Astyanax mexicanus: one gene and its partners. The protein of the gene in region 2 purifies or fractionates together with the protein of the main gene of each other region. This does not show direct contact. Links are inferred from orthologs where the notes say so. Each region holds a gene or a part of one and is shown on either strand. Other genes may lie near its edges.

Region 1 (8,317 bases), on a different chromosome or scaffold from region 2:
CATGTTTCTAAGAAAAAAAGCCGTCTGTGATATAAAGGACAATAACCAATGAAATAATAAATGCTCATTATACAGTGGTCTGTGATTTATTGGTTAAATAATCCATTGAATACAGATCACAAAATAGCTGTGCTCCAAATAGCAGTATATCCAACAGTATGTCAGCTAATACTAGAGTACTAGCTAGTTGGGATATCGCCCCAATCCTATAAGCCCCAGTTCCCTTAGCTAAGCTCCCATTCGAGATAAAGCTGTATGGGTTCGCTGTACTGGAGGCCCTGGGTTTGGATCCTCTGTTCATCCAGAGAAAGAGAAGTGAGAGAGAGAGAGAAAGAGAAAGCAGCTTAGAAACAAACTAGCCATATTAAAAAAGCCCACAATAATAAAGAGGAGAATTAAATTAGTGTAAGTACTGATTGATGAATTTAGAACAAGAATTTCTATCAAAACATTGTAACATTTTAGCTGTTTTTGGTTGTAGAATACTAATAAATGGTGTGTGGAGTTTACCTAATAGTAGCCATGTCTTAAATTTACCAATCTGACCAATAAAACAAATCTAATGAAGGCCTCAGCCAGCCAAATGTGCTCTAAAGAGATTCAATCTCAATGATCTGTTCAGTAATTCTACCCATGGATCATTGTTGCTAACCAGCACTGTGCATTTGGTGTGCCACATTTAGTTTTTTAGGTTATCATGTGCTTTTCATGATAATTCTGGCTTTAAAATGCAAATAGAACATTTAAATCTACGAAAAACATTAATTTAATCTTTAATTACCTTACTTTTATCCTGATACAGAAATTTCATTTATTTAATTTATCTACTTAGACGTCTGCAGGGCGTCTGGGAGCATGTTCTAATCAGGCCTGCAACTAATGATTATTTTGGTAGTTTCTGTCATGCCCCCATCCCTTCAAAATGAAAGAACTAGCTGAGCATAGGTTTTAAATGCGCTTTTAATGCCCAGATGATGTTTAAAAGTGTAATCTGTTGTGTTTGGGCACTTTAGGAGACTATTCCTACACCATTCCTAGCTCTTTGTGGAGTATGGTGCCGTTACAAATCAACGATTAGTTGACAAATTTGTCTATCTATATATCGACTAATTGTGTCAGCCCTAGTTTAGCTTTAAAGATAAACCCTGATTTCCTAGTGTGTCAGAAAAACTATTCAACAGGAGCTGCAGTGGTGTGTGATGATTCAGGCTGGATTGTGGCTGGAAGCGCCAGCCGGTCGATTCTCAATTAAAGCTGCAACTAATGATTATTTTGATAGTTGACTAATCTGATTACGGTTTCAATTAGACGATAAGTTGATAATGTTTAGAAGTGCACGGTTCTTATAGTATGGTGAGTAAATATGTAATCTGTTGTGTTTGGGTCCAAGTTGAGTGTGAAGGTTGTGAGTGAGCCCATTATCCCTCTCTTCCACTGTTTTTATCACTCCAAAGCATTTAGTGTAGTGCTGTGTTACGAATTAACAAATTAGTTGACAAATTTGTCTTTCTACATATTGACTAATCCTAGTAGCCATAGGTTACCCTTAAAAACAACTCTACAGGACCTGCAGTGGTGCGTGATGGCTGAGGCCAGAGTCTCAATTAATGATTATTTTGATAGTTGACTATTCTAATAATTACTGTTTCGATTAGTCGACCAGTTAACGATTATTCCCTTTAAATGCCCAGAGGATGTTTAAAAGTGAATAGTTCTGATAGTTAGTGAGTAAATATGTAATGTAAATATGTAAATATGTATATATGTATATGTGTTTGGGCACATTTGGAGACAGAGGCCAAGTTGAGTGTAAACTTTGTAAATGAACCCATTACTCCTCTCTACCATTGTGTTTTTCTCTGCCCACTATTTAGTTTGGTGAAATTTGGAATCATTACAGCCCTATAATATGGTGGTGAGGGGATTTGTTTATTTTTACTAGGTTGCAACAAGTAACTTAGACCACTGCAACGATTAGTCGACATAATTGATGAATGTTTACATTCAGTTTAGCTTGGTCTGTGTCCCCAAATATGCTCAAAAACAAACAAGTTAACTTAAGACATTAAAACACAACTGATTATCATAACTTTCCACATTAATTGAACATCTTGTGGGCGGTTTAAGAGTTTTTAAATCACAGCGGTTGAGAATATAGATATCATAGAAAATATAAATAATCATCGACTAATCGACTTATAAAATAATCAGATTAGTCGACTACCACAATAATCAGCTTTAATTAGAGCTACACAATGTTAGCACGGTTTGACAACTCGTTAGCTAAGCTAGCTTAGGTGATAACTAACCAGCGTTAACTAAGGCTAGAAGGAGCTGCAGTGGTGCTCGTGGTCGGGAGGCTGGAAGCACCAGCCAGCCGGTCGCTTCTCGATCTTTCTTTCTAAAGCGGGAGATCCACCTACCGATGTGCGTATCCTGGCCGTGAGGGCCGGGGACTCCCACGCTGATCTGGCGCTCGGGCTGAGGGATGCATTTGAGGCAGAATGAGTGCAGGCAGGGCAGGAGTTTGGGCTCACAGTCGCGGTTCTGGAGGCACTGTTTGCACACCGCGCACGTATCCAGCAGGTTGATCGGGGCGGCGGGCGCGGGGGGCGGCAGCTCGGCTGAGGGAGCCGGGGGAGACCCGCCGGCTTCGGCCGGGGCTGGTGTTGCGCTGTCACCCGCAGCCCCGGACGACTCAGCGGCAGCGGCGGTGGTGGTGTTCTCGGCAGTCGCAGTCTCGGTCTCAGTCTCAGTCTCCGTACTCCCGTTCCCATTATCAGTCCCGGTCCCGGTCTCGGCCTCAGTCTCGCCGCTGTTGCCGTCCGGGGTGCTGCGACTAGCGCTCACTTCTCCTCCACCTTCACCGCCGCCGCCACCCTCTCCACCTCCTCCGCCACCCTCTCCACCACCTCCGCCACCCTCTCCACCTCCTCCGCCTCCTTCTCCCGCGATGTCGCTGCTGTTCTCCCCGCCAACAGAGGTGGTAGCAGCAGCAGCAGCAGCGGCGGCGGCGGGCGGTGGTGGAGGTGTCGACTCCCGCGGACCGTTTTCCCCGCACTGTCCGTCGCTCCCACCCGTACCGGCCGCTTCTGTAACACCAGCCGGCTCTGAAATCACCTCCTTAGTGTCTCCGTTCACCGGGGCGGCGGGTTCTACCTCCATACTAGCCGAGCTCTCCGTCTCCGCTTGGCCTTTGTTGTCCGCCATCTTCCCTCCTCTTTGAACCGCCTGACGTCCAACACGACGGAGCTGCGTGCGACGTCATCACGCAGCAGTGAGAGGCGGGCGTCCGTGCGTCAGCGCGTTTAGCCAGTATCTTCAGAATACAGTATACATACATAATACAGTATTATACTAGAGTCACCCAGACTATAACATAACATATAATAAAACATATAATAATCTTAATAAACCTAAATTCTGGTTTCTGAAGCTGAAAACTAACTCTTCTAACTCTTGGTCTTCCCATACTGGGGTGGTCCTGAAGAGGGCCAGTTTCATCACATACTTTAAAGTTCTTGAAAGTATTTGGATTGAGTGAAATCCATTTCTTAAAGAGCCACTAAACCCTAAACTCTAAACCCATACATCACCCAGTGCCCCTCCCAAACTACCCTTCCCATTTTTTCTCAAGAGCACCAACATATATATATATATATATTTTTTTGTATATATTCTAGGTTCTAAAATTAAAGTAATATCCTAAACACATGGTTATTTGCTATCTTTATTGTTCTATTTTAGCCGTTTAGCTCCATTCACCCCCACTCATTGAGGACTCACTCGCGGGCTCCCTCTAGCGGTCTGTTGTATTTCACTGATATTCCGGCGGAGATGGGAGTGGGCAGTCTCTCCATAAACCAGCTCTGCGAAAAGTTCGTGAAAAACATCTAAACTTATCGATTTCTTATATATATATATATATATATATATATATATATATATATATATATATATATATATATATATATATATATATATATATATATATATATGGGTTAATTATTAAGTTATAGTTATTAGGAAGTGAGTCATTATTACCAGACACTAAGTCATAATTATGAGGTAGTGAGTCATTATTATGAGACACGAAGTCATAATGAGGTAGTAAGTCATCATTATGAGATAGTAAATCACAGTTATAAGGTAGTAAGTAATTATTACAAGACATAATTATGAGATAGTAAGTTATAATTATGAGGTAGTAAGTCATAATTACGAGTCACTAAGTCATAATTATGAGATACAGAATCTGGCAGTATTATCTAAAAATTCTGACTTAGTATTTCTTAATTATGACCTAGTGGAGGACCTTTATTTATTTCCAAGTGGTGGAAATGAGCTAAATCTAAAGTATAAAACAGATTCTGTTTTTTATTTATATCATAATACAGCACATGTTCCTCTTTAGCTTTAATCACTACATTATAAAATTTCCAAGGTAAAATCACATTAAATAGGGGAAGAGGTGTGTCCAAACTTTTGACGGGTACTTTATGAATCTTAGGTAAAGTACCATGTGTTTTCCTCGAGTTTCGTGTCTTCACGTGGTTTCCCTTTAAGAGTTTCAGTTCAACACATGAAGACGGAAAGATAAGGGGCTGTAAGTACTTTATCAGGTCAGGAAAAGTTCGTTAGATAATCTGTGTAATATAGAGCTGGGGGATGGTGCCAGGGGTGGGTGTGTCTCAAACCAATCCCTTATTCCCTACTTAGGGCGCTGTTTCATTTTCTAGGGAACATGAAGGAATGATGATCTCGGCTGCATTTAATTCTGTAGGGGTTAAACATATTCCAGCCTCGCAATGTTACCTGGATATTCCAGATATTATCTTATCATCTTACAGCACAAGTGACTACAACTGTAAACACTTCTGAAACTAGGCTTTAAAACCCACATACTTCTTTCAGTTTACTAACATTTTAGCTGCTGTAAAAAAAAACAACACTGGAGCCCTAAAATTAAACTATTTTATTAAAACTGATAAAAAATGTAAAAAATAAATTCAACGTGTACAAATAGGTCAGTTCTGAAGTAGGAGACCAATAGTGTTTCATTGCTGAAAATGAAAAATATAATGTTGATTTAATTTCCTTTTGCTATCTGGGTTTTGTAAATAATGTATTTAATCAGACAAGACTCTTCTATTAGTGTTTTATCAGAGCTATATTTAAGAAGAAACAGCACAAAAGGCAAGTCCCTCTCCACTACGTGGTGTAGCACAGTGGATAACACCACCTTCTCCATGGTACTAGGACTAGGGTTTGATTTTATATATGCGACTGGGTAAGCACAACAAGCTACAGCAATAAGAGTAGTTTATGTTATGGAGCTCCTAACATTAATCATGCCACAATTTAATAAATTGCTCTCTCAGTTAAATAAATAATTCTTTCAATATACTAAATCATTGTTAATGAGATTAATAAATTGTTCCCTCTGATTTTCCAATGTGTTCCCATGAAACTGATGACTTAATTAAACTGATGCTTTTGGGAATTGATTGTTTAATTATTTTTGCATAGAGCTTTTGTATAAAAAAATACTTAATGCTGCTATTTGATTAGTAGAGCTGATAAGATGAAGAAAGCCTGTAGAAACAAGTAAGTGGTCATAATATTCTGACTGGACTGTATTTTCTGTATTTGATTTTAAAGTCTTAGACTTGAGGAAAGTCCCGTAGCTTTGGGGCTAGCATGAAGGTTGGAATAAATGATAAATGGACTAAAAAAAGCATTAAAGAGTTTAATTTTTATGAACTGGAATGAGACTCTGAATAATGAAATACCATTATAGATTCATTAGCGCTCTCTGGTTGCTTGATTGAAGTGACAAATGAGGCCCAAAAGGTGGCCTAGTTTTTCATTATAGACAGTTTTCTTGCAGTTTCTTTGAGAAGTGAGCTTAGAATAAAAAGTTATGCTCATGAATTTGGCTGGCGAGATAGAGTCAGTGTGTATGCAACATGTAGGGATCTAGTTGGGCTTTTTAAATGAGCCCCATCATTACAGACCACCTTAAACAGCCAGGCTAAACAACCTTAAACCATATATTTTCCATTAATAGCTAAAATGTGTTCCTTTAAAGTAATGAAACATAGCAGCCCTGCTTAAATTTGTAATAAACATTTCCTAACCTTTAAAAAACACTTTTATTTATTTATTTTTTTTGCCTCTGCAGCTCCCTCTCAGGTTCAACTGTGCTATAGGTGAGGATGATGTTTACATGTACTTTGGTACACAGATACATCACAATAAGCAGATTAGTCAATTAATAATCCTGCCCCCTCTGCTCATGACATCCAACCATCTGCATCTCATTACCGCTATCAGAGGCACACTGCTGCTTCTGCATCTCAGCCAATCAGCTCTCCCTCCTGCCCTGCCTCTAAACCCATACATCACCCAGTGTGCCCCTTCCAAACTACCCCTCTCATTTTTCTAGCCTTTTTAAATTTGTGCTGAGGCTAGAGTTAGCAAAAATCAGGTAGTTTAGTGCCCTAGTGCCTTTAATCTCATATGGGTCCCACACAGGTTAAAGAAGAAATGCATGATTCGCCAAAGAAAGCTTTTATTACATTTGTACAGCTTAAAAATTATAAAAAAATACATACAAACTACCAACAGAGCTTTGCTGAGCTGTTTGGTACCAGGCTTTCAAAAACAGGTAACATTTCTGATGCCATTTCCTCTCTGGGACACTCCACCGCTATTCTCTGAAATGTCTTTTCCGCACACTTTATCCGAGTCCGCTGGTTATTCCAGGTTTGTCTGGGAAGATGCCTCTGGTTAGAAGTCCTGTCTGATGTTCTCTTTATTCTCCTCCCCCTGCTGCTGCCTCAGCTGGGTGACGTCATTCTCCAGCTGCACGATGGCGCGCTCGATCTCGTAGTTTTTACTCACAAGGGACACCCAGCTGTCAGAGGTAAAGATGCATCAGTCACGGTCATAGTGTACTTTAATAAGATCGTTGTTTAATATATCGTATTTTGTGGACTATAAGGTACACTATCAAAAAATGTCTATTTTTATACACTTAACTATAAGGCACATTTTAAATAACAATAGTAAAAAACAAGGTTGTCGCCATGTTTCCCTTCTAATAACAAAGCACATCAGTTTCCTTTTAGTAAGCTTAGATTTCCAATATTATAAAATTAGCAGCACCTAGCGCCAGAAAATGCAGCCTGACTGTGCTACACAGAGGAACCCTGAGTGTTCCAGTAAGTCAGGGTGATATCAGCTAGTGGTTCGTTCCATGTAGCTTGTTTTAACATGAAAAACATTCAGGCTACAGTTCGATATATACAGTACGATATGAACGCCGAAAGAGCTAGCACTATAGGTAGCAGCTAATGCTAATACTGCTCCAGTGTTGATGCTGGAGAAACTTTACTGAAACTCCTTAATACCTGACTGGTAAGATTCATACATAAGGCACACCTGATTACAAGGTGCACTGACGATTTTGTGGCAAAGTATAGGATTTTAAGTGTGCTTTATAGTGCGAAAAATACAGAAAAAATATTTTTTATTGGATCATAATACATAAAAAAAAATACTTTGACTCAAGCTCTCGCAGTTTGGCTCCTCCAGTGAGCTGATCGTTCTTTCTCTGCCAGTTCAGATCCTGAATCTGCTTTCTGAAATCACAAAAGTCAAAACCAAGGTGTTAAACAATCGATGTTTAAATATTTCCAAACTACATTACATCCAAACCATAGACTGTATACAGCTGGACAGAGCATCGTCTCTTAAAAGTGAAGCCACCACAGGTCGGGCGCCCCCTGCTGTTCGGCTGCAGAAAGCTGTGTAACTCCACCCATCCCCATAGGTTTCAATGGCAAAACAGACAACTCTCAATCACGTTTTTTTCTAATATGCTGTAATTCTACCTCCATTATTTAAATGCAGCAGCTAGTGTAACCTCTGCTTATATTGTCAAATTTTTATATCCCACAGAATTCGGTTTTTAAAACTTTATTCGGCTCTATTCAAAAAAGGTGTGGTTATGGTAAAAGGGCTGGTTATGGGCGGGGCCAATAACAGACCGTCAGCTCTGCTCCGCCCCGCTCTGCAGTCTGTGACCGCGAGGCAGCCCTCAGGGGCGGGGTTATTTAAATGAGTAGGCGGTCTCTCCACAGCCTTTCTCCCTCCTCTGGTCTCTACTGCGCAGACTCGGGTTTCAGAATCGCCAACATGGCGGAAGATTTTGGCTTCATTTTCATTGAATGAATGGGAACGGCGTCCATCTTTATATACAGTCTATGATCCAAACGTATCCAGGTACCTCTTCTTATTAGTGATTTAAAGT
Region 2 (7,997 bases):
AAGCTCCGGCAGCTTGATGGCAAAGCTGCATGAGCAGGGGTTCGAACTTGCCACCTCCCGCTCATAGTGGTATCTATGCACTCTTCAAAAAAAAAGAATACCTTTAATTTTTTAATTGGAAAATAATTTAAAAGAAATTACTCTTTAGAGGTAAAAGACCTAGGCTCCCGTGGAACATGCTGCAGATGATTCATGAGGGACTCCAGTAGACTGGTGTTCCTCTTCTCCTGCTCCTGTAGCTCGAACAGCATTTCCTCCAGCAGAGCCACTTTCCTGTTCTGAGCAGGCAGTTCCTGCAGGTCCATCTCTGCAACCAACCAGTGGGTCTTCAGATGGCTAATTTATGAATAAAAAAAACTAATTTAATGCATGAGTAATTGTGCAAAAAGGGTCAGCTCATGATTACCTTCTCTGTGCTGGTTTAGATGTTTGCTGTCAGCAGATCTCACCATCTTCTGCTTGTCCATCTTTGGCTGGATCTGAAGGAGCTGATCTTCTGACCTGCCTGCTGTCTGTCCATGCACACACACACACACACACACACACACACACACACATACACTCTCATCTCTATCTAAATGAACTAAAATTACTGCAATTCAGGCAAAACCAATAAAAGCAGAGGTCATAAAACATTTGTGGGGCTGTTTATATGTGTTTCTTACTGGTTCACTGCTGGGTTTTTGCATGTGGTTCTGAGCTGGTGTGTGAATGTTCTGCTGGCTGAGTTGGGCTCTTGCATTAGGCCTGTCCTGCTGCCGTATCCTCCTCAATTCTCTTATCCTCTCATTCTGTGGAAGTATGAAACAATACAAGTACTTCAGATATCCTCATATCATATAGGACACTATGTATTTTTGAGCAATTCCACCAAATGGGTGCCTTTTCTGTCCTCAGGAAATACATGTATAAATGTGCAGAAATAACTTTAAAATACATTTTATTATTAAGCATAGTGTCTTGTACAATGGTGTAATTGCAAAAGTAAAATATGTAATTAAAAACATTAATAAAAACGACTTTAAACACTGAAAAAAATAGCATTTGTTACCTGTCTCCAGTCTCTAACTATACATTTTACCATGAAATATAATTATTAAAATCCTTCAGAGATGTATTTCTTTTTTGCATTGCTGTTTGACTTCAAATCCCATCTATGTTTAAAATTTTTTTTTGTTTTTTAATAATTTTAATAATGTTTTGTTCATAATAAGTCAAAAGTTTATGGAAGCCCATTTTGACCAACTAGTAAGTCATTATTTTAAGATACTTTTCATTATTTTGAGATACTACCTCATTAGTCTGAGATATTAAGTGATTTTGAGATAGCAAGTGTGTTTGCTTTCAGAAAAAATATTTTAAAATAATTATGACTTACTATCTCAAAATAATGACTTTGTATCCCAAAATAATGACTTAGCATCTCAAAATAATGAGACAGTATCTCAACATAATGACTTACTATCTCAAAATAATGACTTACTATCTCATAATAATGAGATATTATCTCAAAATAATGAAATAGTTTTTAAAAATAATGAGATAGTATCTCAAAAAATGACTTACTATCTCAAAAAATAAGATGGCAGTTAACTTAATAATAAGAAAAAAATGTGCTGGATTTTTTATTTTATTTTAGGTGGCGGAAATGGGCGTCCATAAAAATGTTTATGTTAAAATACACATTTTAGTTGTGTCACTGGGTTTCACTCAGTCCTGTTACCGTAACACATTACCCCATCTAAAACATCTGAAAACATTCTACAAGTCACTTCTACAACAGGAAGTGACATCAGCTGGTTCTTCTGAAAATCATACCAAAATCCAGACCAAAATTACTGTAAGTTCCCTCTTTTGTTTTTCTGTTTATTTGATCTTATTGTAACTATGACTGAGGAGCTCAATCTTAACACTTCCTGTTACCTGAATTAGTTCCTTTTGGGAAAATCACTAGAATGTGCTTAGTGTCCTCATGCTATTAGCATAGCCGCAACTTAGCTATGTCTTATGTTTTTGCTAATTCCATGCTAAAAACCATAGACCATTCTTGTTTACTTTTATGACTTTCACAGTTGTACTCAAAAAACATAAAAATAACAGGAATGAGTTTTTTTGTCATAAATAATAATTATTTGAACATGCAGTCAACCATTTTTTTTTAAATGAAAAGACTTTCTTTAAAAAAAAGACTTTCTTGGGAGAAAATCAAAGGAATTAGTGGACTAGTGTTTTTTTAAATGTAACATGAATTTTGTAACCATCTTCGGATTTGAAACCTTAACACTTTAATCAAAAAACATAAGTAAAGCTGCCTGAGTTTGACCAGTACATGTTTTAAATAGTTAAATATGTTATTAGATTCAGAGTTGAAAAAAAAAATAAAAAGCTTAATTTGGAAGCGTTACAACAAGCAAATTGCACCTATTCGGTGGAATTGCCCTTCTACATATTTCTTTCTGTATAAGTGGTTCTGGTGCCTTTACTAAAGAACCCTTATAATATATAAAATATAAATTAATACAGACATCAGTAAAAATGTGTGTCATCCTGTATTGACATGCCAAAAGTTATGGGACTGGCAGCATCTGGCAAACATTGTCCATGCAATCAGACTTTAGCTTCACAGTGAGACACAATAAAGATCTGGTTCCACAGTAGATATGGATAGCATACACATTTAAACATATAACATGAAACATGAAATTTTACCAGGTTTTGATGGAAATCAGACTCTTCATTCTGACCAACACTTCCAATACAGAACTTCTCCCGATGCTTTGCCAGAAAATTTGATGATCTGAACGTCATATTACATCTAGAACAAATTAATGAATCCATTGCTGAAAAAAAAAACTCTTATTAAATAAAACCGGATTAGCCAGGTAGGTAAATGTCTGTGCAGTTCAGCCAGGCTCTGTGTTGAGCTGCTCTTGACAACCAATAATACATAACACACACCAAACCAAACTTACAGCAGCGCCGTCTGCTGGACACGCTGGGAATGAGTTATTACAGTTCCAGCCCATTTAAACTCTTTCACTGTGAAATAACAATCTTCTTATATAAATAAAAAAAAACTTTTTAACCTTTTTGATACTTTGGCTTATTATTTTATTCACTTTTTATTTTACCATTGTAATATCTTATTAATATTATCTTAATTTAATAATTTTATAAATATATATATTTACATATTTTAAATGTACTTTTTTTTCAACAGCAAATTTTACCATCTCACAATTTTAAAACACACAAAAAACAATGTTATAAATGTTATATGGTTTCAGATTTTTTAAACTATAAATTAAATATTTGAAGTCCAACAAAAGGATTTAAATGCTTAGATATGTCACTTTTTTTAGTCAACGTGTGAATCAATTTTGATTTTAATAAATTAGTAACGCTTTAAAGTAGTAACTCATTAATAAACAGTACATATGACCGAATATCTCATCTAATTATTTATGGAAAACGTTAAAATATAATAATCAATTAAAAATATTTAAAAATATTAAAGTTTAATAATGTTTTAACTAGTTCCAATGAATAATTAGCTGAGACATTTTGTCATTATTAACCATTTAACAATATTTAATGTTTAATGTCGTAAGTGTTGGTATTGTTTGTGACCGTAGTTGTAAAGTGTAAAATTTTAAAACACACAAAAAATATCTTAAAATTCAGATTTTTTTAACGATGCTAGTAAATATTTGTATAAAGTTTATCAAAAGTGAAATAAGTTGTATAAATTCTACACAACAAATATTTAATTATAATCTCCATAGAAGAAAAGCTATTTTGAGGCCCTATTTGTTTCTCCTTTGTTGAATGGCGGAGGGATACGCTGCTTGTTTGCTTTGATGGGGCTGTGCAGCCGTATCTAACCCACTTTGCGATTCGGCTCTCAGCGCATCTCTCTCTCTCTGTGCTTCGGTTACGAAGCAAACAGATGGACAGACGGACGGCCGCGTCGACAAACCACAGCCTGCGGCCTGGAATCCAAACGTCAACGAGGGAATGGCGAGTCTGGACGACCAATGGGGTACGCGGGCCGCTTTGCATAATTAATATTTGGATATACTGACGGCAGATGCTGACCAATGTATTCTAAGTAGAAGCGCGTTGGCTGAGATTTTGACCAATAGCAGCACGAAGGCGGGACTAGAGGCGGGACTGAGGGCGGGCCTGTATCGCGTTGAGTGCGTTAAGGTTCGGTTGTCCATATGAGAGAGGCCACCGTCGTCTGCTGCTGTAATTTGGCTACAGAGAGAAAGAAAAATACAGTTTAAATCGATTTTTAGAGCCTGGAGGACGGAGATAAACGCCAGGTTTTGGTGTGGAGGGTCCGTACACATTTTTGGGGTGTGCATAAAGCCGGCGGCTCATCCTGAAGGTGAGTTTTATTGCTGTAAAAATAGGTGAAAATAGGAGCTGCTCCGCGAACACGTCTCTAACCTGTTTATTTTTCTGTCAAACAAAGTGGCGAAGCCTCCGAGCTTAACTTAGCGGTTTTTTGAGCTGAACACACATACACACACCTCCTTAATCACTAAAACCGCCACCTCTCCAGCACCATCACCTCTCCGCGGTTACAGATACTGCTAAAAGATGCTTGAACAGTGCTGTGTTTTTGTGTAACCGTGGCCGGCTCCATCTGCATTCACACTCTGGGTTTGTTCTCGTTTGTAGCCGCTAGCCTCAGCCTCTCGCCCCGGGACTCGCTCGCTCGGACGGGGCTTTTCATGCAGCCATAAAACAACATCTCCTCTCCACATTTTCCATCAGTCCTGCTGCCCGAGGTAAGTGCTGGACGCACACAGAAGCCTTTAAAAACCATTTATTAATATCTCCTCTTTGTAAAGAGCAGCTTCTGTAGGCCCTGGCCTGTTTTTCTGTGGATGGGTAACGTTAGCTAAGTAAGTTAGGTTAGCTAACCTAAGCTACGTGTTTTTTCATAGACTGCTGGCAACGTGTGGACCGGTTTATCGGTGTAGTTTAAATCTTGATTTCAATAAAAAAACATTTAATTTAACATTTAATTTAATAATGCTTATGCATTTACTAAACACACTAATACACATTTAAGTATTTGCCTAAACTAACTACTAATTAATAACTGACACTAGTTATGATAGTAGGGGTGGGTGATATGGCTCATATATCATCATGATACTCATTGGGATATACCAAAACACTGAAATAAAAAAAAAAATATTTCAGGAATACACTACTGCAAAAAAAAAACAAAAACAAACAAGATTTCTACTAACGAGGCACTCAACATATCTTAGATATACAGCTCTGGAAAAGAATGAGACCACTTAAAAAGTATGAGTTTCTTTGATTTTACCAAATTAAAAATGATCAAAAGGAAGATGGATGATCACAAGCCATCAAACCAAGCTGAACTGCTTGAATTGTTGCACCAGGAGTGGCATAAAGTTATCCAAAAGCAGTGTGTAAGGTTGAGGAGCGGAGATACATGAAACTGTGATGAAAAAAAAACAGGCTAATTCCACCAAGTATTAACTTCTATACTTTTAGAACTTTATAATTTGAACTTGTTTGAACATTATTTGAAGTCTGAAAGCACTGCATCTTATTTTTATTTAGAATATGGGAGAAATGTTGTCTGTAGTTTATAGAATAAAACAATGATTATTTTACTCAAACATATATACGTATAAATAGGTAAATCAGAGAAACTGATTCAGAAACTGAAGTGGTTTCTTACTTTTTCCAGAACTGTATAATGACTTACCAACTTCAAGATCGAATAATTAATATGGATCAATCACATATCTAGTCTATTTACTTAGTGCAGAAATATATATAATTTTTTCTTGTTTCATAAAAAATGTTATTCGTTCACTGCATCCCTGTTTATTTTTTTACCCTGTTTACTTGTAGGGCCTCAGTTAATATTTTCTGACTGAGGCTGAAATAGAACATTTTGAAGCACCACTGCATTACTTTTTTTTTAGAATAATGTGTTTTATATCGTTTCTGCAACTGTCAGAACACAGTTGTAACAAAAGTAAGTTTTATTATACCATGATGTTTTTGATGCAAAAATTGAAATCAGAATATTGAGAAGATTTCATTTTTCCTAAAATTCTGTTTGTGAAATGCAGAAATAATAATAAACAATTAAAAGTATATACATTTTTATATCCAATATTTATCAAATTTGGCCTCAAACTCTCAAAATTTAACTGATAAAAGTTACACTGACCTTTATGACAAGACACCACAGCAAATATTGTAAATTAAATAAACAGGGATGCACTAACCAAAATCTGCCCCTAAATCCCTAATTATAAACAATTGAACTGCCCCAGTTAAATACTATTTCTTTTCTTGTGTCACGTTTTCGTTTATTAATTTTATGTTTAAAAAATGAGGCACTATCTAGTTAGCTTAATATGTGGATAAACATTTGCATGCATTTTAAAAGCAGAAATCTGAACAGTGGATACAGTCTGGCTGAATTCAGTTCTTGTTTAAATGTATTAACATATCCGATTTTTTTTGTTGTTGCATAGATTAGAAAATACTCTTAACACCCATCATCGCTGTAAAAAGGTGCTTCTGAAGTGGAGAGCTCTGCACTTGTATTTGTGTCTTTCTATCAAGAAACTCCCCCTTTTTTCTTTAACAATTGGTTGTTGATACAAAGGAAATGAGCATATCTGGATGTTATGCAGAAGAGAGAGAACCTAGCAACTAACAGTATGCTTCTGTCAACATAGTGCAGTCGACAGTTTCAGTACTTCAGGTGGTGTTAGAATGCTAACTTTTAACAAAAATCTACACACAGATAGAAAGTGCAGAAAAATAATAAATTTAATGTGTAATTCAGACACTTTCAGACTACTGTAAAGAAAAAAGCCAAAACATTTCTTTAACTAGTCTATAATAAAGAGTTTGTTCCTGCTACATCTTGCCATAAGCATCCAGCTGCTATCTAGTGTGGTGCTTTTATCTTCATATATCTTCAGTCTCCATCATGCTTAAATTTGGCACAGTTGTGTTCATACCCACAAACCCATACAGTAAGAGTTATAACAGAACGGTTAGTCATTTAACCACACTCTTTCTCACACTCTCTACTCACCAAATGAGCTGTGTAAAGAGATTAATTAGCGATCAGGCTCTCCAAGAACTCATCAGCTCCATGGACTTTAGTCCTGAAACTCTAGAGGCATTTAATACTGAAATCTGGCTCTAATGCTTAAATACACTGTTCTGAGGTAAATGCAAGTCACTTTAGCTGGTGGTGGGCAGTATGACAAAATAAAATAATGTAGGCATGAAATATGGCACTTGCAGTATATACAATGGATACAATACACTAGAATCACTGGAATACAGTATATTTACAGAACACTTCATTTCTCTTGAATGTGGTAAGCTAAGACAGAAGCTTGAATACAGTATCTTAAATAAAACTGCGAGGGTAAATACGATTAAACATGATCTTGAACTAGTTAGGGACTAGTGTGAGGACTAATCAAACATTTTAGTCGGAGTCTATTCTCTAAGTATGAACTGTTTAGAATATTCAGTAAGGCACCCTTTGACACAGGTGTGGGATATGTTAAAAAACAATCAATATAGAAAACTTTATTTTCAATCTGTAGTGGCAGATTAAAAAATGCTATTCAAATACAGAGATTTTTTTATATTCATAAATTTGCTTAATTTCATCCAGTTGCTCAAGAAATAGTTATGCATTTTTTATTTTTTATTTTAATGAAATGTGCAGTTGATTGGTGTTTTATCATATCCACCAAATGCTTAGTAGAGCATACTGTTTGTTTATTGAAAAATCACAGTTTATCCTAATACAAAGAAATATTGTTGTATTGCCCACTTCTACTGTGACAATTTATTTATTCACAATAACAGTAAAATATTATCATATTGCCCAGCCTTATTATGAATCTACTTTAATATTCATGTTTCTCTTCTATATTCAAAACCTTCTGATGAAT
Region 3 (8,462 bases), on a different chromosome or scaffold from region 2:
AAATACCAAGGTAAACTAGCAAAGACAAAACAAGAAAAGACAAAGCCATAAACAGGAAATAAAAAGAAATAGACATTTGCAAAAGGCAGAACAAACAGACCGGTTTACATACAATGTTAAACAGCTGAAAGGAATCAAAACACAGGTGAGGCTGATCTGGCAAGCTGGTGCTGATTGACTAGCTGAGTTGACTAGCTAAATTAACAAATGAGTTTTTATGTACTATGTTAGTTAAAAAGCATTTTAGAAAATGTTCATACATGTTCAGAATGTTCTTAATTACAAGGTTACGAAGGACTTAGCTTTACATGTTTTTGGGTTTTGGGAACCCGACCGGAGTGGCCTTCATTGATTACAATGTTTGCAATCAGAAGGAATGCACTGGGCAAATGGCACAAAAGACTATAGATATTAGTTTGTCCAGTAAAGTTGTAAAAATAGAGCCCACAATAGTTAAAGTAGTTGCGGTAATATTTTCGTTACACTTCAATTATTTTTTGCTCATCCATTCCACCACCTGGGGACAAAACTCCATATTGTCTTCCATATATATATGGAATAAAAAAGGATGTGTGATACTTGAGTCTCAATTGACCGTACAACCGGTGTTTTGTCTATCTTTTACCTATATTGCCTGTTGAAAAAATACTCATCTGTCCTGAGGCCTCACTTGCTTAAATTTTTTTTCTTCCTCACAGTAATAAATCTAAGATAAACTGTGTTGTTGATATTTTTTTGATAATCTCTAATGTCACATCTTATCATTGCATACCATCTCAACAATGTGCCATAATCAGGGCCTGCAGGATCCCAGAGCTCACAACACCTTTTAAAGAGTACTAATTCCTCTCAGCTCTGCACTGTTATTCATGATGTAACACGGCGTATTTGTTTAATTAGCAAGCGAATGCTGTTATCTTTTTGGCCCATGTACTTTGTTGAAGAATGGCACTCCAGGGCAAAATATTCCCTTAAGCTTACACATTTGTGTTTGCCCTACTTATCGCTAACTCCCATTAATGCTTAATAGCCAGGGATTCTTTTTTTAGAATATCACACTCCAAATCTCACAGTATAAATTAATTGCTTGTTTCGGACTTTCGGCGCAAATTTAGGCAAGACGCGGCACAGGCCTTTGCCAGTATGGCTCAAAGTTATGCCTAGGCCCTTTTTTCCAAGATAAGAATTTATACAAAGCAGATTTGTTGTGAATATGGCAGTAAATAATTGGGAATATTTTATCTTGGTGTTGTTTATTGAAGATTTTTACATTTTGGCTCTTCTTGTTATCCTTCTGCTGCCAGTCATTTTTTCAATGCCAGTATTCATTTCCATACAACTGAAACATGATAATGAATATATGATAACTTGATAACTGATGGTTAATATATTTAGCCTCTATTTTCTGCACTGTGCATCTATTTAAGCTGATTTGTGGAGGAAGTGTAAATGAATGCCACACAAGTACTTAGCTCATGTAAACAGTTTGTGCATGCTTGAATGAGGGTTTCATTTAGGTTCATTACTGACTGATAAGTCCAACGTTTGTCTAGACATGCAGCCAGCTGATATGACACTGCAGGGTCTGCACTCAGAGCCCCTCCCCGCCTGCAGTCAGATCCAACTGGGGAAGGCACACCGCAATGGCCGACGTCCAGATGGCAGCCAAGTGATTGGCGATGGGGGTTGTTTTGAACCCAGTTACGATCACCAAAAATAGGGACGGCAGATAAAAGTGCCGACAGTCCACGGCCTGCACCGGCTGATTACAACCAACCAGGCAATGCCGCTCGTGTTTGTGTTGCTTTGCTAAGGGTGCACAGTCCATGGACAGGCAAATATAGGCTTTAGCAATATGTAAAGGACTCTGCTTCCTGCTGATGACCCCAGTGCTCCCCCGGACCCCTGCAGCCCGAGTCGATAGCCTATGTTTTTTAAGCACAAGGGTTTTTAGGTAGCTAGAAGAAGTGGATGGGGCCACTGCTCAGTATCCAAAGCCTGTATCCAAGGCCTAGGAGGCCCAGGCGGACATCAAACAATAGGCAGTCGTCAATCTCTGTCACCGTAGATGGGTGAACGGGAGTTAGAGGTTGCAGGAGGTCAGGCTCTTTGTCCTGTCCTGATGAATATATGCATAAGGCACTGCAGCCATGACTTTAGGAGATGTGCTGGTCGATATATTGTCGAGCAGTATATTCTGTGATACTAATTCCGTTTTAAAAACATTTTTAGCTAAATATATTATTGATAGATAATGAGAATCTATATTTATATAATGTAATGGCTGTAAAATAGCAACATCTATCTGGTTGTCTTTCAATGTGTGTAATTTACGTTAAGTATAATATATTATACTACATTTTTACATGACCATTATGCAACATTATTTTAGCTCTTACTTAAATTTAAACAGTCTGCTTTTGTAACTGTGCCTCTAAAACTGAGAGTTTTGAGTTCTGAGTGTCTGCCCTGTATTGCATCTCATTCAGAAAGCAATGTGGGCTGAACTACCCCCTATAACTTGAGTCTGAATAGGCGGGGCTAAGCTGCCATATGTGAATTAATTAAAGGGAAGACTATACTGTGCAAATGTATTGTTTTTGTGACATCACAAAACAATCAATTCAAAGTTACTTTTACAGCTTAGTTTTTATATATAGACAGCACTGGAACTACATAAAATTACTAAGCAGTAATAAGCCTAAGCAATTATTTTTCTCTGTCATTAAAGTACTGTTTTTATATAGGTCATATTAAACCAAATGTGCTTAATCAATCACATTGTTTTTTCTTTGTAGGTCTATCTTTAAGTCTACCGATAGATATGAATATTTTCAGACATTCTAGGTCACTGAAATGCCTGGCAGTATTGAATAAAGGCTACTAGACTCTATTTTTTTCCTGATTACAGGGAAGAAATATCCAGGTCTCATGATTTACTATTATTGCCCATCTACCATCAGACATAATGTTTCATATTTTCATCTAAAAAGCAGCTGAGCCATCCTCTTCCTTGTCTTGCAGTTTTTACAATCCTCAGTCTGATTTTAACCCTGTCTGTGGCTTCACTGGTTGTATCAAACCCTATTTACTTCAGATCAATGACTGTAAAAAGATATAAGCTATATACAGTCTATGCTTCATATGATCACATTCAATTCTATTTAATTAATCATTTAACTTTTACTCACTGTCAAACATAACTTTAAAAAGTATAAAAGCCTTCGATGCACACTGTGATGACGGTCGATGAGACTTTTTTGAAATGTCTTGACATATATAGTCACTATTTCTGTTTCACTGAGTCTAATAAGACTCTCCTCTCTCCTCACTCTTATGCAACTTATGCAAGAGGTTACCCCTGAGTAAATGATGTGTTGTTGATTTTCTAAGTGAAAATAAGTTATACTATTATTTCACAAAATATACACTATACCTACACTGACATGCCAAAAGTCATGGGATATCAGTATGCAAACTGAGCATGTTACCTTGGGGGCTTGGGAACACTCACACCTGTATAAGTTGTGAGGTGTTATCTTGTAAGTGTATTTGAACACTTGTCACTACTCTTCTGGGACAGTGATGTGACTTATCGAAGTTTGAGTTTCCAGCAGAAGATTTGTTTAATTATTTACACTAAATAAGCAAAGGTGCCATTTTTTTCAGGAGTACCTTAAACCTTTGTTTTAGACTGTAAAGACAGTCGGAGAGTATACAAAATATGTACCTATTTCTTGCAAGTAAATACCTTAATATTTTGAGAGTGTATTAAAATTACATTTTTACTTATCTATTAGCAAATCCTGAAATCAGATTTTTTTTTTTAATTCCAGAATTTGCAAAAAGTGTACTAAAATATTGACCTGTTTCTAATAGGAAAAAATTGTTATTTCAATCATTAAAGTATAGGGTTAATGATGACAGGATTGTGGGTTTGATACCCTGGTTTGACACACTGCCATTGTTGGATGTCTGAGTAAGGCCAATGGCTGCCCACTGCTCCGGGCATGTGTGTGTGTGTGTGTGTTCACTATATGGGTGGGTTAGAGGCAGAGGCCAAATTCCATCTGTGTCCAACACAAATGTGAATATGGTGCTTCTTAAATAAATAAAAAAATAAAATAATTGTTAAAAAAATCTGAATTAGTTTAATAATTTAGATTCTTCTAAGTACCACATTTATCTTTGAGGACAGCTCTGCACACTCTTGGTATTTTAATCTCAGTGTCTTCATGAGGTAGAGGCACCTGGAATAGTTTTCTCAGCGTCTTGAAGGAAGGAGTTCCTGGAGGTGCTGAACAAAAGCTGCTGCTTTTCCTTCAAGCTGTGAAGCTCCAGCTCATCCCAAACCACCTCAAATCACCATCTCAGTTGATCAGGTTTAGATCAGAGGATTGTGGAGGACAAACGCTTTTTATTTACTGTTTACTACATAATTCCATATGTGTCCCTTTTAATAGTTATTTATGTCTTTAATATTAATGAAATATGTAGAAAATAAATGAAATAAAGAAATAGAGAAAAACACTGAATGAGAAGGTGTGTCCAGGCTTTTGATTGGTGCTGAATATCACCAGAGTATTGTGTATACATGACTTCAACACTCCTCCATACCTGTGTGTATCACCTGTTAAAGTGTTAAAGCAGTTGTAGCGGGTGTATAGAGAGTGTAGATCAGGGGGAGTAGGAGGAGAAATGCTGTGAATCTGTCTGTCTTTCTGTCTGTCTGTCGGTCTACTGTGAGTTTTTTTTTTTCCTGGGTCTGGGCGGGGAGTGGCGGCTCCAGCCTATCACAGGCTTCTCTCTCTCTCTCCCCCCTTGCTCTCTCTCTCTACATACACACCGTACACACACACACACACACACGCCTAGCTAGCTAGCTGGAGAGAAGTTGTATGTGTATGTGTGTGTGTGTGTGAGTGTGCGCGTGTGTGTGACAAGCAGGCAGTGTAGAATAAGTCTGATCCGAGGATGGATGCAATACCGCGCTGTCTGCTGTTTCTGGTCCTGCTGTTCGGGACGCGGATCGGCGGGTCTGAAGGTAAGGCGCCGCCGGGCTGTGGTTCGCCCCAACTCCGTTATTTCAGCCTCTGCTCCGTGAAGTTTTGCTGTCTGAGAGTCCGCTGTTTTTCCTCTTTGTTTCAAGGAGCTACGGCCCCAAAGACTCTTTTCAAAGATGGCGCAGGTCAGAGAGAGAGCTGAGCTTTCGGAGGAATGTTTTCTTTCTTTCTTTGTGTTTTCTTTTTGAGAAGAGAGAGAAAAAACCGAGGGGAAGAGATAACTAAACACAGGACAGATAACCTAACGTAGCTCGTTAGCTAAATAAAAAGAGCGAAGGCGACCTGGCTTGTGTTGTTGTGAAGAATCAACAGCGCTTCGCTAACTACAACAATAACAAACACAGTCCTCTAGCAGTCTAGCTTAGTTAACTAACAGCTTACTAGCGTATGTTAGTTAACTATTTAGGTTACGTAGTTCGTTAAGGAGTTTGGTCTGAATTTAATGCTCCCCACGATACTAGCTAACTACAAAAGTTGGCAACTCTTCATAGTAGAGGTTTATAAGTTAACGTTAAATGGATTGATGAACTGGCTCTGAACACAGCAATTACATGCTTTAAGAATAGAATACAAACAAGATAACCTAGCTGTACATATTGGCAACACTTTACAATAAGTGTAGTTAATTAACCTAATTAACTAACTAGCTAACCTTGCTAGTTAACTAGTAAAGTAACCTAATGTGACCTATTGTTGATTACTAAATTGTAATGTTTGACAATGTTGTAGATAGTAGCTAACAATGAATCGAGGCGTTATTTAAACATTCTGTCATGATAAATAATGTCTTTACTAGTGGCAGTTAATTAATAATCTAGTTAACGTTAGCTAAGTACTGTAAATTAATGTGTTAATAAGCTAATTAACGCTAGCTAGCTACAGTTATAACAATGTAGGTTAGTTAGCTAACCTACATCAATTAACAGTACTAACTAGTTAAGTAACCTAATGACTCAAAGTCTCAGTGTCTAATTTATTGTTGTTGGTACTAAATTTTAATGGTTGAGAACGTTGTAGTTAAACATTCTGCCATGACAAATAATGTCTTAATGTCCTAGTTTCAGTTAATAATTATCTAACTAGTTAGCTAACGTTAATAAACGTTAATAATCTAACGTTAATAAGCTACTCAATGGTAGCTAGCTAACGCTAATTAACCTAGTTACATTTATGACAATGTAGTTAGCTAGTAAGATTTCTAAAACAAACATTAGCTAACGTTACATGTGAAAACAAAACGTTGATTAAACCTATAATCTATGTACACTAAATAAACTAGCTAAATAAATCATATCTGACATTGATATAGTCTGATATATCAACGTTGTTTGAACGCTTTGAAAACGTTGATTCAACATAAGCCAGCTTGGTTAACTAAGTTAAATAGGGTTAAGTTTTTGTAAGTTAAGTAACCTAAAGTCTCAATGTCTAATTATTGTTGATTTATTAAATTGTAATGCCTGAGAATGGTGTATATAGCCTACAATGCATTAAGACATTAGTTAAACATTCTATCATGATACATAATGTCTTAACTAGTGTCAATTAAGAATTATCTAGTTAAGCTAGCTAAGTACTGCAAATTAATGTGCACACTTATTGTAGTTAAATTGTTAATGAGTTACCTAGGTTACACCTAGCTACATTTATAACAGGTTAATGTAGTTAGCTAAATAAAACAAGTTAAGCTTTCTAAAACAAACAATAACTAAGCTACATATGAAACCATAACGTTGAATCAATGTTGAACCAACCTAAAATCTATGTACACTCAATAAAATGGACAAATAGTATCTAAATCAACCCTGGCATTTACATCAACATTGTTTCAACGCATTAGAGATTGAAATATGTTGAAAACGTTGATTCAACATAAGCCAGCTAAATAACTAACCTACTTTTGCTCTGCTGGAAGAAATGTTGTGATTCCCAAGCCCCAGTGGTAACGTTAGGTTAGCTAGGTTTAGAGAGAGAGAGAGAAATACACCATTAAACGTGATTAAATGTGCTGACACATTATTACACAGCTGTAAACCTGTGCTGAAATGTTCTTGTATCCATCTAAACGCTTAAACTGAACTTTATTTAACGGTAAATGTGTTTAGATTGTGTTTTGACCACTATCACACATACACACACACACACACACACACTCGGCACAGAGAGCAGCAGCAGCCCGTCTCTCAGTAACAACTAGCTACACAGCCTCACTACTACAGCAGCTAACCTGGGTTGGCTAGCTCGCTGGCTAACGTTAACGTTAAACACACAGATAAACCGATACTGATGGTGTTCAGCCTGAACCGTGAGCTTTTCCAGCCAGCTAGAATAGAGACTGTCGTTGGCTAGACGTCTTGAGTGAGATGTAACATTAGCGTAACGTTTTTTTAGATGATAGCAAATTGATTAAGCCGTCTACTAGCTACGCTAGCTAACTAGCTAGCCAACCTACCGGGCTAGCCACAGTTCTTCTGTTCAGTCAGCCTAACTGCCTCTGTTAATGTTGTGTTTATGTCAAAAATAAGTTTATTTCAGCTACCTGTTATTTGTTTAGCCTTCATTTAGGAGCTTAAGAGTAACTTAAGAGTGCAGAACTGTTTAAGGACTGAAACTGCCCAAATAACGTTACATCCGCTCCCCCCCGTCCGTTTACCTGGATAAGCTGGATAAATAAATAACTTTATTAACTAATCACTTCATCAAACACGAACTGTAGTAAACGAATGTACAGAAATGACAAGTAAATGATAAGTTTCTTTGATTTTACCAAATTGAAAAACTCTGAACTATAATCAAGATGATGATGAATAATCACAAGCAATCAAACAAAGCTGAACTGTTAATTTTTTTTTGCACCGGAGTGGCATAAAGTTATACAAAAGCAGTGTGTACGACTGGTGGAGGAGAACATGCCAGGAATCATAAAAACTGTGATTAAAAACCAGGGTTATTTCACCAAAGCATATTGCTTAAAATACATTTAATGTAAATACAGTAAAAAAGTATATTTGATGTGTATTTTAATTTAGTATATTAAACAGAAAATGCACTTTTAGTATTCTTTACCTAATTTAACATGCTTTTAATGCTCTCATGTTTACCTTTTTCATGTGTAGTGTGTTATTGTGCAAAGTGCAAGTTAGGTTAAAGTGTCAGGCTAAATAAAACAACAGATCAGTGGAAACTGATAAAACTAAATAAGAACTAGCTAAAATCAATGGATTTTGAAATATCATGGCCAGTGTCAGCCAACTTTAGGATTGCGCCCAGCATTGCTTGGTCCTTTTCATACAATTAATTAGTCAGCATATATCGTTTTGAAATCGGAGGATGCCAGTGATTCCAAAAAAAGCTAAATTTAGCTTAAGTTTAGCTGAAAGCAGCGTGCTTAATATTGAG
Region 4 (8,116 bases), on a different chromosome or scaffold from region 2:
ACATTTACAGGCACTGCTGTACGAGTGAGATGTACACGTACAAGCGAAAATCTTACCTGAACCAGAGATTTCTCAATGGTCATAAACATTTCAACATTCCTGTCCATTCTAGAAGGATTCTGGAAGTCGAACCTTCTCCTGGAACACAAACAAATAATCAGAAAACAGCTTCATTTCATTTTTTTTTCTAATATTAACAGCAGTTAGGTACTGCAGATTTCACTTCATAGATTAAATCAATTAAAAAAAAGTAAAAAGTATCTCACCATCCCTGGTCACTCTTAAACTTGTAAGCAGCAGCAAGTATGTGACACAAAGCTCCACCGGCTTTGAAATCCAGAAAACTCTTCATCTAAACAAACAGACAGAAATGTCAAGTGATACCTTGTTTAAACAGCAATATCGCAAATAAGCATTAATACAATTAAAATGCTCCCTATAACAATAGCATAGCTGTTAACAAACATATACGAATAAACACCACAGTGCTAGGTCTCACATGTGTAAATTAGTCAGATGCACGGTCTGTGAGTTGGAGATCAGTTGCTTATTTTAGAATACATTTACATTACAAATATATTTACAAATATATTTTAAATGTTCAGGTAATAACATATTATTGCTAGTTCATTTCTGATATTGTGCAGTAAACGTATACTCATTTTTAAAATGGTTTGCAGGTTATAGATATTATGGATGTTATTGACTCAAACTAAATGTTATAGTAAAGAAGATGAAGGTACCAGTTAGAAAGTCCAGTTAGAGCATCTTTAATCTGCCACAGCTGGGTCCTTGAGCAAGGCCTTTAACCATCACTTGCTCTTGGCACTGCTGTGATATTTTTTATCACTATATTTATCACTATATTTGTGGGATAAAGGTGGACGCCACATTCCATCTGTATGTCCAAAACAAGTATGGTTAATATGGCAGCTTATATTGTCTTGTCTTGTCTTACTAGACATACTACATTAGAATCCAGTTTTTCTGTTTGAAAGCAATGTTAAAGTGCATCTTTTTGGCAGCAGACAGGTTTTGGGAATGGGGATGTTTATGATAGTAACATGGGTAGTTTTTATGACTGTATGTGAGTGTGTGTATGAACGTGTGTGTTTTTGTGTACCGGTAGCTTGGTGAGAGGAGGGTTGCTGACATGCCGCCCGAAAACTTCCTCTTGAAACTGCAGCAGCTGAACAACCAGACTAGACAAAGACTTGTTGGTGGGAGGTTCTGCCTGGATATACTACACATGCACACACACAGAAACAAGGTGTTAGAATTCACAGTGTTATAAGAATATAAGGAAAGAGAAAAATAGGGGCGAGGTTAAGGAAATGGTTTGTCCTATAGCTCATAAGATTTTTTTTTACCTAATACTTAATTTGCTTCTAAAGATAATAGTAAGAGTCTGATGAATAGACATACCACCATCCAAAGCTGAGTAGCTATCCAAATAAAGTGTTACGGCATAATGTCCTTCTGGATATTTTGTGCACTTCTTGTACCTAAATAGTACTGCGCTTAAAATATATAAATAGTTACAGTAGTATAGTAGTTTACAGTATAAATAGTTTGGACACACCTTCTATTTCAATTGTTTTTATTTATTTATTAAACTTATTTTCTACATTGTAGATTAATATTAAAGATATGAAAACTATTAAGGGGCACATATGGAGTCACATACTAAACAAAAAAATGTTTGTCCTCCACATTCTCGTGATCTAAGCTCATCAGGATTTTAACCTTAACATATTTACAGTCATCTGCCCACAATAAAAAAAAACTTTAACATGGTAAGTTATCAATATTCAGAAATGGGTCTGGGCTCTTATGGGTTAATTTAAGACTTTGTGACTGATGTAGCTAGCTAAATAGATATATGGCTATTATTATTTTGGCTGAACAAAGCCATTGACATGTATAGCATTTACATTTTCACTCAATCATTTTTATAATGAATCTAGGTTAGCTTTTATGTACATGAAATATGGGAATGTAGCTAATGTAGCTATGTTATATAGGCTGGTTTCCTAGCTTAGCTAGGGTTAGGTTACATACGTCAGAATTAGTGTTAAAACCCCTTAAGGCTACAGGTATAGGTGATACAAAACCCTTTTTTCTGCAGTAAAATAAGTTATTCACATTCAGAAAATTTGAGGGCTCTGAAATCTCCTACAGGACACTGGGTTTGGATGCTGCCTGTTCACTTTCTACTGATTTGTATTCAAGATTTTTTTTATTTTAAAATAAAGTTTAGGAAAAGGACAATTTTATGATTTTATTTGTTATATTTTGACATTAGCAGATTTACTTATTGATTTATAACGTTATAAGTTCTATTACAATTACAAATACTTTTGAAAAAGGCTTTTTAGTAATGTTACTCGTCAAACATGAAAGCTTTTTATGTAAAGCTTAAATAGAAATGCTCTAGATTTAGGGGTATAATGTCAGGCAGACAATTGACAATAATCCTGGCCTGTTAAGGAGTTTTTATTGATTTATGTTATTCTCTCTCACAGTTGGTTTAGCTGGTGTTTCTCTCCTCTCGGGTAAACTGTTCACTATCAGACAGTATCAGACTCTTCACCGGGTCGGTGTGAAAGGGAGGGGAGGGGCAGATCGGCCGCAAAATCACAACACGCTGTGGCTTCACCTCCTATTACTAATGATCAGAGACGTAGCGTTACGGGATTTTACCGGAGCCTCTAAAACCGCTCCGGCCAGCGGCTCGAAGCGGAGCCAGCCTGCGGCTGCACATCTGGACTGGAGGAGAGCGGGCAGCCGCCGCAGTACCGTTAGTTAGCTCACAGCTAGCTTTCTCCTCCCCAGATAAAGAAAAACGTTGTCCAGCCCCTTCATGAAATCGCATTAAACATGGCTGATGGACCATCAGAAAAATATGGAAACAGCCGGAGAGTGCTGGGGGTTCGCTAGCAAGAGTTTAAACGTCTGTGTTTTATAAGCGATTCCCAAAGCGTTTAGTTATCTCTCCTCTTCTATTGTTTCGTTTCTCCTCAGCGGATTTAAACAGCTGGATTTCTCTCTCTCCATCCCTCCCTCCCTCTTTCCTTCTCCCTCTCTCTCCCTCCTCTGTATTACTCTCTCTCTCTCTATCTATCCCTCTGTGCACCGCTTTCTGCCTCTCCTCATCACTCTACCCACTTCCCACTGACTAAATTCCAGCGCAGAGCTTCGTATTAAATGAATAAAAGCGAGCAGTACCTTTTTGTAATTTTTGCCCAGCCAGACTCGGACATTGTCGAACTGTGAGACGGTATCAGACGCTTCGAAATATTTTACATTCGGGCCGCCGTCTTTCTTCCGTACCGCCATCTTTGTCTACATCCAAAACCATGGACGCGGCGCGCCGCCTGGCGGACACGCAGCGCCGTTTCTCCGGCTCAGCGAGAGTCGCTGAAGACGCGCTGAAACTGCGTCCATTCCGGCTCACATCAGATCCTCCAGCTGCCGAAGGAAACCATATTATATTGGAGCCAACATGGCAGAGCTGGACCGGCGGTGACCTCTCAGTCCCATCCCCCTCTACCTTCAAATCGACTCCAAAATTAAAATAAATAAATAAATAAATGAATGAATACTTGCTGTAAGTGTCGTCATATTTTCATAACCGTGGCAGGGGTTTGTTCCACGTGCTTTCAGATTCTTAACCGAACGTGTAAAAAAGTATTCACATTCATTACACAGGTAGATGTATAGATACCAGGGTTTAAAAAACTCAAGTAAAAGTATAACAGTACTGGTTTCAAAACTAGCTTAGTGCATCCCAAAATCAAAATTTCCAACATTAACATTTTAACCCTTTCAGACCTAAGTTATGTTTTAGTGATAAAAAATACATAAGAATGCTGTTTTCTGCCTGTAATGCACTTAAAAACAGGATGCAGTAAAAAATAATAATACATTAATTAATAATTAAAGATCAAATATAATATTTGTATTTTGTCTGTTTATTGCAGTAGAGTCATTTGTTTAACACTGTTGTTTTTATTTTTTTATATAACAAAACTTTTATAGTTTTTTTTATTCTACACACATTTTATTATATATTTCTATATATTTTCACAAATTATGTTTAGTCAGAAAAAAACAAGATTGGAAAAGATGTTTTCTCTGCCACGTTAGCTGGGATGCTACCATGCTTTACTTTAGTGTGCATGTGTGATAGATACAGGATATTTAAGGGTTAATAAAACATTATAATCATTACGGCTTTTAGAAAATGTGTTTTGGGGAGGGAGGGTAGTGAAGTATAGGACCCTGTGTCGTGGCCTAAGCTTTTGTCCTTAATGGTATTTTTTCCCTTTACATTACTTTTATACTTTTAAGTAGTTTTTTATTGCAGTACTTTTTTTTCCCATAGCTTTTTACAATGACTAGCCAGAAGAAAAATGATATTTTTAATTAGAACGTACAGATACTTTCTATAAGGAGTAAGGAGTAAAAAGTTGGCTGAAAAATAATTACTGCAGTACAGATAACAGATATTTCTACTTAAGTAAGGTAACAATTGTACTTCTTGACCTCTGAGATACTATGAATGAAGGCTCTAACTTTGGTCTCTAGCCAACTTTACTACAGTATCTCACCATTAGAGGGCACTGTCAGACAACCAATACGCACTTTTGCCCTTGAGTTGAGTTGAATTAAGTGATTTTTAGACCCAGTTCTGGAGACCCCCTGCACTGCATTCCCTGCCTCCAGCACACCTATTCTAGCACAACAGATAATAATGATCAAGCCCCTTTACAGCTGGATCAGATGTACTGGAACAAAAAAAGATAGCTGATGCTTCGTAAAAACAGCCACCAAGGCCTGGATTTAATGGCCTGTACACTGTAGCAGTGAATTTCAACTCATTCAGTTATAGAGGACCAGTGTCACCTCTTTGGTGATGTTCCTCCTTAAACAATGCTTTTTCAACTCATATCTTTTTAACCAGGTGTGTGTGTTTAAGGAGTTCAATAGTTCTGCCATGTCCATGTGTGGTCTGTATAGGCCAGTGATGGGATGAGGAGGGGCTCAATTGGGGCCCCATCCAGGTTTTAAAATGTACATGTGGCCTAGATATGACATGGGGGATTAAGGTAGGCTGTAGTGATGGAGCCAATAAAAACACATGTATAAACCCACTCAGAGCCCATGCCCACCTGAAACCAACAATCCACTCATATGAGCCCCACATGAGGAGGCTGGCTGGGAATCCCCAGACCTGCACAGGTTCTACACTGGGACTGAGAGCCACTTGTATTTTGGGTCTTAGCACCAATTGTCTCAGGAGATTTAGAGGTAATCTAACGTGAGATCAGCCCACCGACTCAGGAATTCTGAGTGCATTCCAGTCCTGGCATCATTGCACATTTCACCAGTTCTTTTTCTTTTATACCACGTTATGCTGACCAATATAGGATTATTAGATCTAAACTTAAACAAATAAGTCACCTAATAAATAAATGCACACTTAACACTACAGGTTAACGAAAATATTAAAATATTAAAAGGCTTTTAAGTATGCAAAAATAAATATTTACTCTTTTTTTAACAGACAGACAGACAGACAGACAGAAAATTTTGGGTTAATGACTGATCTCATTATTAACCCAACATAGAGAAAATGTCTGTCTGTCCCTCATAGGTTAATCTGATTTATTAGTAAGTTGCTATAAATGTTTTGTTATGGGACTGTTATAGGAACAGAGCTCGTTGTTTGGAAATCATATATTAAAAATAAAGATTCTTGAGACATTTGTCTTGATTGCCTCATGCTCCTGACCTACTGCAACAGATACCTACCTAACTGTTGCACTACCTGATTTCCACCTGGTTACTGGAAGCAAACGAAAGCATCACAGTTTAGACTAATGAGCTATAACGAATAGTGTAGGAATAGTGTGCAATCATTAATATTTCTTTAATATAGCTTACAGGAAGGTAGCTGCCTTTTTATACCAACATAATTTGTAATGTATTTTTGATGTATTTTTTTTTGCATTCCTTCATATCTATCTTTCACATTTTTCACTTAACAGTATGTATTGTGAGTATTGCCTGTTTTTTGGTAAATTGATAATGAGGGCATGGCTGGATGTAGACTGGTCTGCAGTTTCCTCTCCTCCTTTCCGAGGCTTGTTTATGTCACAGTTGTCTTCTTTTGTGCGGGTGTGTGTTTGTTTCTGTCTCGCCAACAGCAGCTCTTTGACCTTTTCGTTATCTACCCTCAAAAGATACTTGCAACCATTCCCCCTCATTACCAAGGATACAAGGATAAGTGTGAGTGCGTGTATGTGTGTGTGTAAATCTAGGAGATGGAGAGTGAATAATGATCAATACTGTCAGTGGCTCAGTGACTAATTAGTGTGTGTGTGTGTGTGTGTGTGTGTGTGTGTGTGTATGTGTGTGGACACAGAGAGAGAAAGAGAGAGAGAAACTAACAGTTATCCATTTTATTGTCTTCGTTTTCATTGTGTATATGTATTTTATTTTTGTGTTGTGTTTATTGTATGTATTGGTCAATGTGTGTGTGAACCTGTGTGATATGATTACAAATAGGTTTATTTTTGTGTGTGTGTGTGTGTGTGTTGTATTGATTATTTTAATGTGTGTAAGCTTGTCAGAATGTGTGTGAGGACCTTTCTATCTGGCCTTTAGCAGGGAGATTACTAATGGGGGCAAAGTCGCTCTTTTTCACTCACTCACACACACACACACACACTCACACACACACACACACACACACTTTGCAAGAATGATATAGTACCTAAAATATTCTGTTACTTGTTGCTTATTAAACCTTTAAGTCATATAGAGCAGGTTTTATGTCACTGAAAAGAAACATTGAACCCATCGTTAAACAAACAAAAAATAATAAAAAACCTGTAGCACAGCTGTATTGGTGTTGGCACAGGGCAATTGCTGGTTCGAACCCTATTGTTGGTTGAAGCCACAGCCATCTGGAACTGGAAGTCCTACAGAACACAGTCTGAGTAGGATGTCCCTCTTTCTCATCATCACTCTGTGTGATGTTTACCAGGGTGGGCATCTGTTACCTGATGCATCTGAACTGGATCCTAAAGAGTGTTCAGCTGTACAGTGATATCGCATTGGTTTAAAAACATGTTATGGATGGTGTAAAGTGATTTAAAGAAAAATGTTGTAAAAATACAGTAACTGACAAAAAAAAGAGTGTGATTACAAAAGAAATGATTACAAGAGAATATTAAGCCCCCATCCTGCTTCACTTAGTCCAATAATGCACCTCCTATCACAAGGACAGATTTTACATTATTTACAATCTGGGGTCATGTGCCATGTTGTTGTCAATGAGTGTATTCACTGTGAGGCATGGAGCTGATGAAGACAACTGCTTTGTAATAATATTATTACAAAATATTTATTTAATTATCTAAAATATTATAAATATTATTTAAGAAATAATTCTGAATCATTAAAGAATTGAGGTGTCATGAGTTGTTTATCCATTTACAATCATTGAGTTTACTTGAGGTCAGCTCCACAAGTTCCTCAAAACTGGATTCAGCTTGCCATAAGGTACCGGAGTCCTGAGAGAGCACAATTGGTCTTGTTCTCTCTGGGTGGGTAGATGGCGCTCTTTCCCCTCATCACTCCTAGGGTAATGTTGATCAACACAAGGCGTCTGTGAGCTGATGTATCGGAACTGAGTCGCTGTGCTTTCCTCCGAGTGCGCTGTGATGCTACTCGGCAATACTGCATCAGCAGCAGTTAGAAAAGAGGCAGAGTCTGAATTCACATGTGTAGGAGGAGGCATGTGCTGGTCTTCACACTTCTGATGTTGGGGCATCACTAGTGATAGGGGGAGTCCTAATGAGTGGGTTGGGTAATTAGCCCCAGAAAATGGGATAAAAATTAGAAATAAAATTATAAAATAACTGGATTTAGCTGGACTGCTGTGTTGTGTATTTGGGATGGTTTTGCTGTTGGCCAGAGGAGGCTCAGTTTCCTTTTTGAGTCTTGGTTCTTCTCAAGGGTTTGTCCTTCTCATGTGCAGGGTTTTTTTTTCTCAAAAGAGGCTTGAACATGTTTTATTTAATTGATTTAAATAAAATAAATAGGC

Evidence for each region.
Region 1: the proteins of smad2 (region 2) and trim33 purify together in Homo sapiens (affinity purification with western blotting; 7 studies listed by BioGRID and IntAct, with this or other methods). This does not show direct contact. The link is inferred for Astyanax mexicanus from reciprocal best matches to the Homo sapiens genes SMAD2 and TRIM33.
Region 3: the proteins of smad2 (region 2) and tgfbr1b purify together in Homo sapiens (affinity purification with western blotting; 8 studies listed by BioGRID and IntAct, with this or other methods). This does not show direct contact. The link is inferred for Astyanax mexicanus from reciprocal best matches to the Homo sapiens genes SMAD2 and TGFBR1.
Region 4: the proteins of smad2 (region 2) and smarcc2 purify together in Homo sapiens (affinity purification with mass spectrometry; 3 studies listed by BioGRID, with this or other methods). This does not show direct contact. The link is inferred for Astyanax mexicanus from reciprocal best matches to the Homo sapiens genes SMAD2 and SMARCC2.

What each region holds. Positions count from the first base shown.
Region 1 is NC_064419.1:2,136,587-2,144,903, reverse strand, and holds the start of trim33 (E3 ubiquitin-protein ligase TRIM33), read right to left. Parts: upstream 3,247-8,317; 5' UTR 3,211-3,246; coding exon 2,424-3,210; intron 1-2,423. Other genes in the region: bcas2 (pre-mRNA-splicing factor SPF27), read right to left, coding at 6,793-6,919, 7,566-7,646. UniProt on the Homo sapiens protein: Acts as an E3 ubiquitin-protein ligase. Promotes SMAD4 ubiquitination, nuclear exclusion and degradation via the ubiquitin proteasome pathway. According to PubMed:16751102, does not promote a decrease in the level of endogenous SMAD4.
Region 2 is NC_064427.1:23,597,884-23,605,880, forward strand, and holds the start of smad2 (mothers against decapentaplegic homolog 2), read left to right. Parts: upstream 1-4,211; 5' UTR 4,212-4,393; intron 4,394-4,689; 5' UTR 4,690-4,799; intron 4,800-7,997. Other genes in the region: coiled-coil domain-containing protein 17, read right to left, coding at 142-307, 407-512, 666-791, 2,710-2,838. UniProt on the Homo sapiens protein: Receptor-regulated SMAD (R-SMAD) that is an intracellular signal transducer and transcriptional modulator activated by TGF-beta (transforming growth factor) and activin type 1 receptor kinases.
Region 3 is NC_064413.1:43,271,101-43,279,562, forward strand, and holds the start of tgfbr1b (TGF-beta receptor type-1b), read left to right. Parts: upstream 1-4,845; 5' UTR 4,846-4,974; coding exon 4,975-5,044; intron 5,045-8,462. UniProt on the Homo sapiens protein: Transmembrane serine/threonine kinase forming with the TGF-beta type II serine/threonine kinase receptor, TGFBR2, the non-promiscuous receptor for the TGF-beta cytokines TGFB1, TGFB2 and TGFB3.
Region 4 is NC_064412.1:17,017,211-17,025,326, forward strand, and holds the start of smarcc2 (SWI/SNF complex subunit SMARCC2), read right to left. Parts: upstream 3,376-8,116; 5' UTR 3,340-3,375; coding exon 3,229-3,339; intron 1,244-3,228; coding exon 1,124-1,243; intron 353-1,123; coding exon 267-352; intron 139-266; coding exon 57-138; intron 1-56. UniProt on the Homo sapiens protein: Involved in transcriptional activation and repression of select genes by chromatin remodeling (alteration of DNA-nucleosome topology).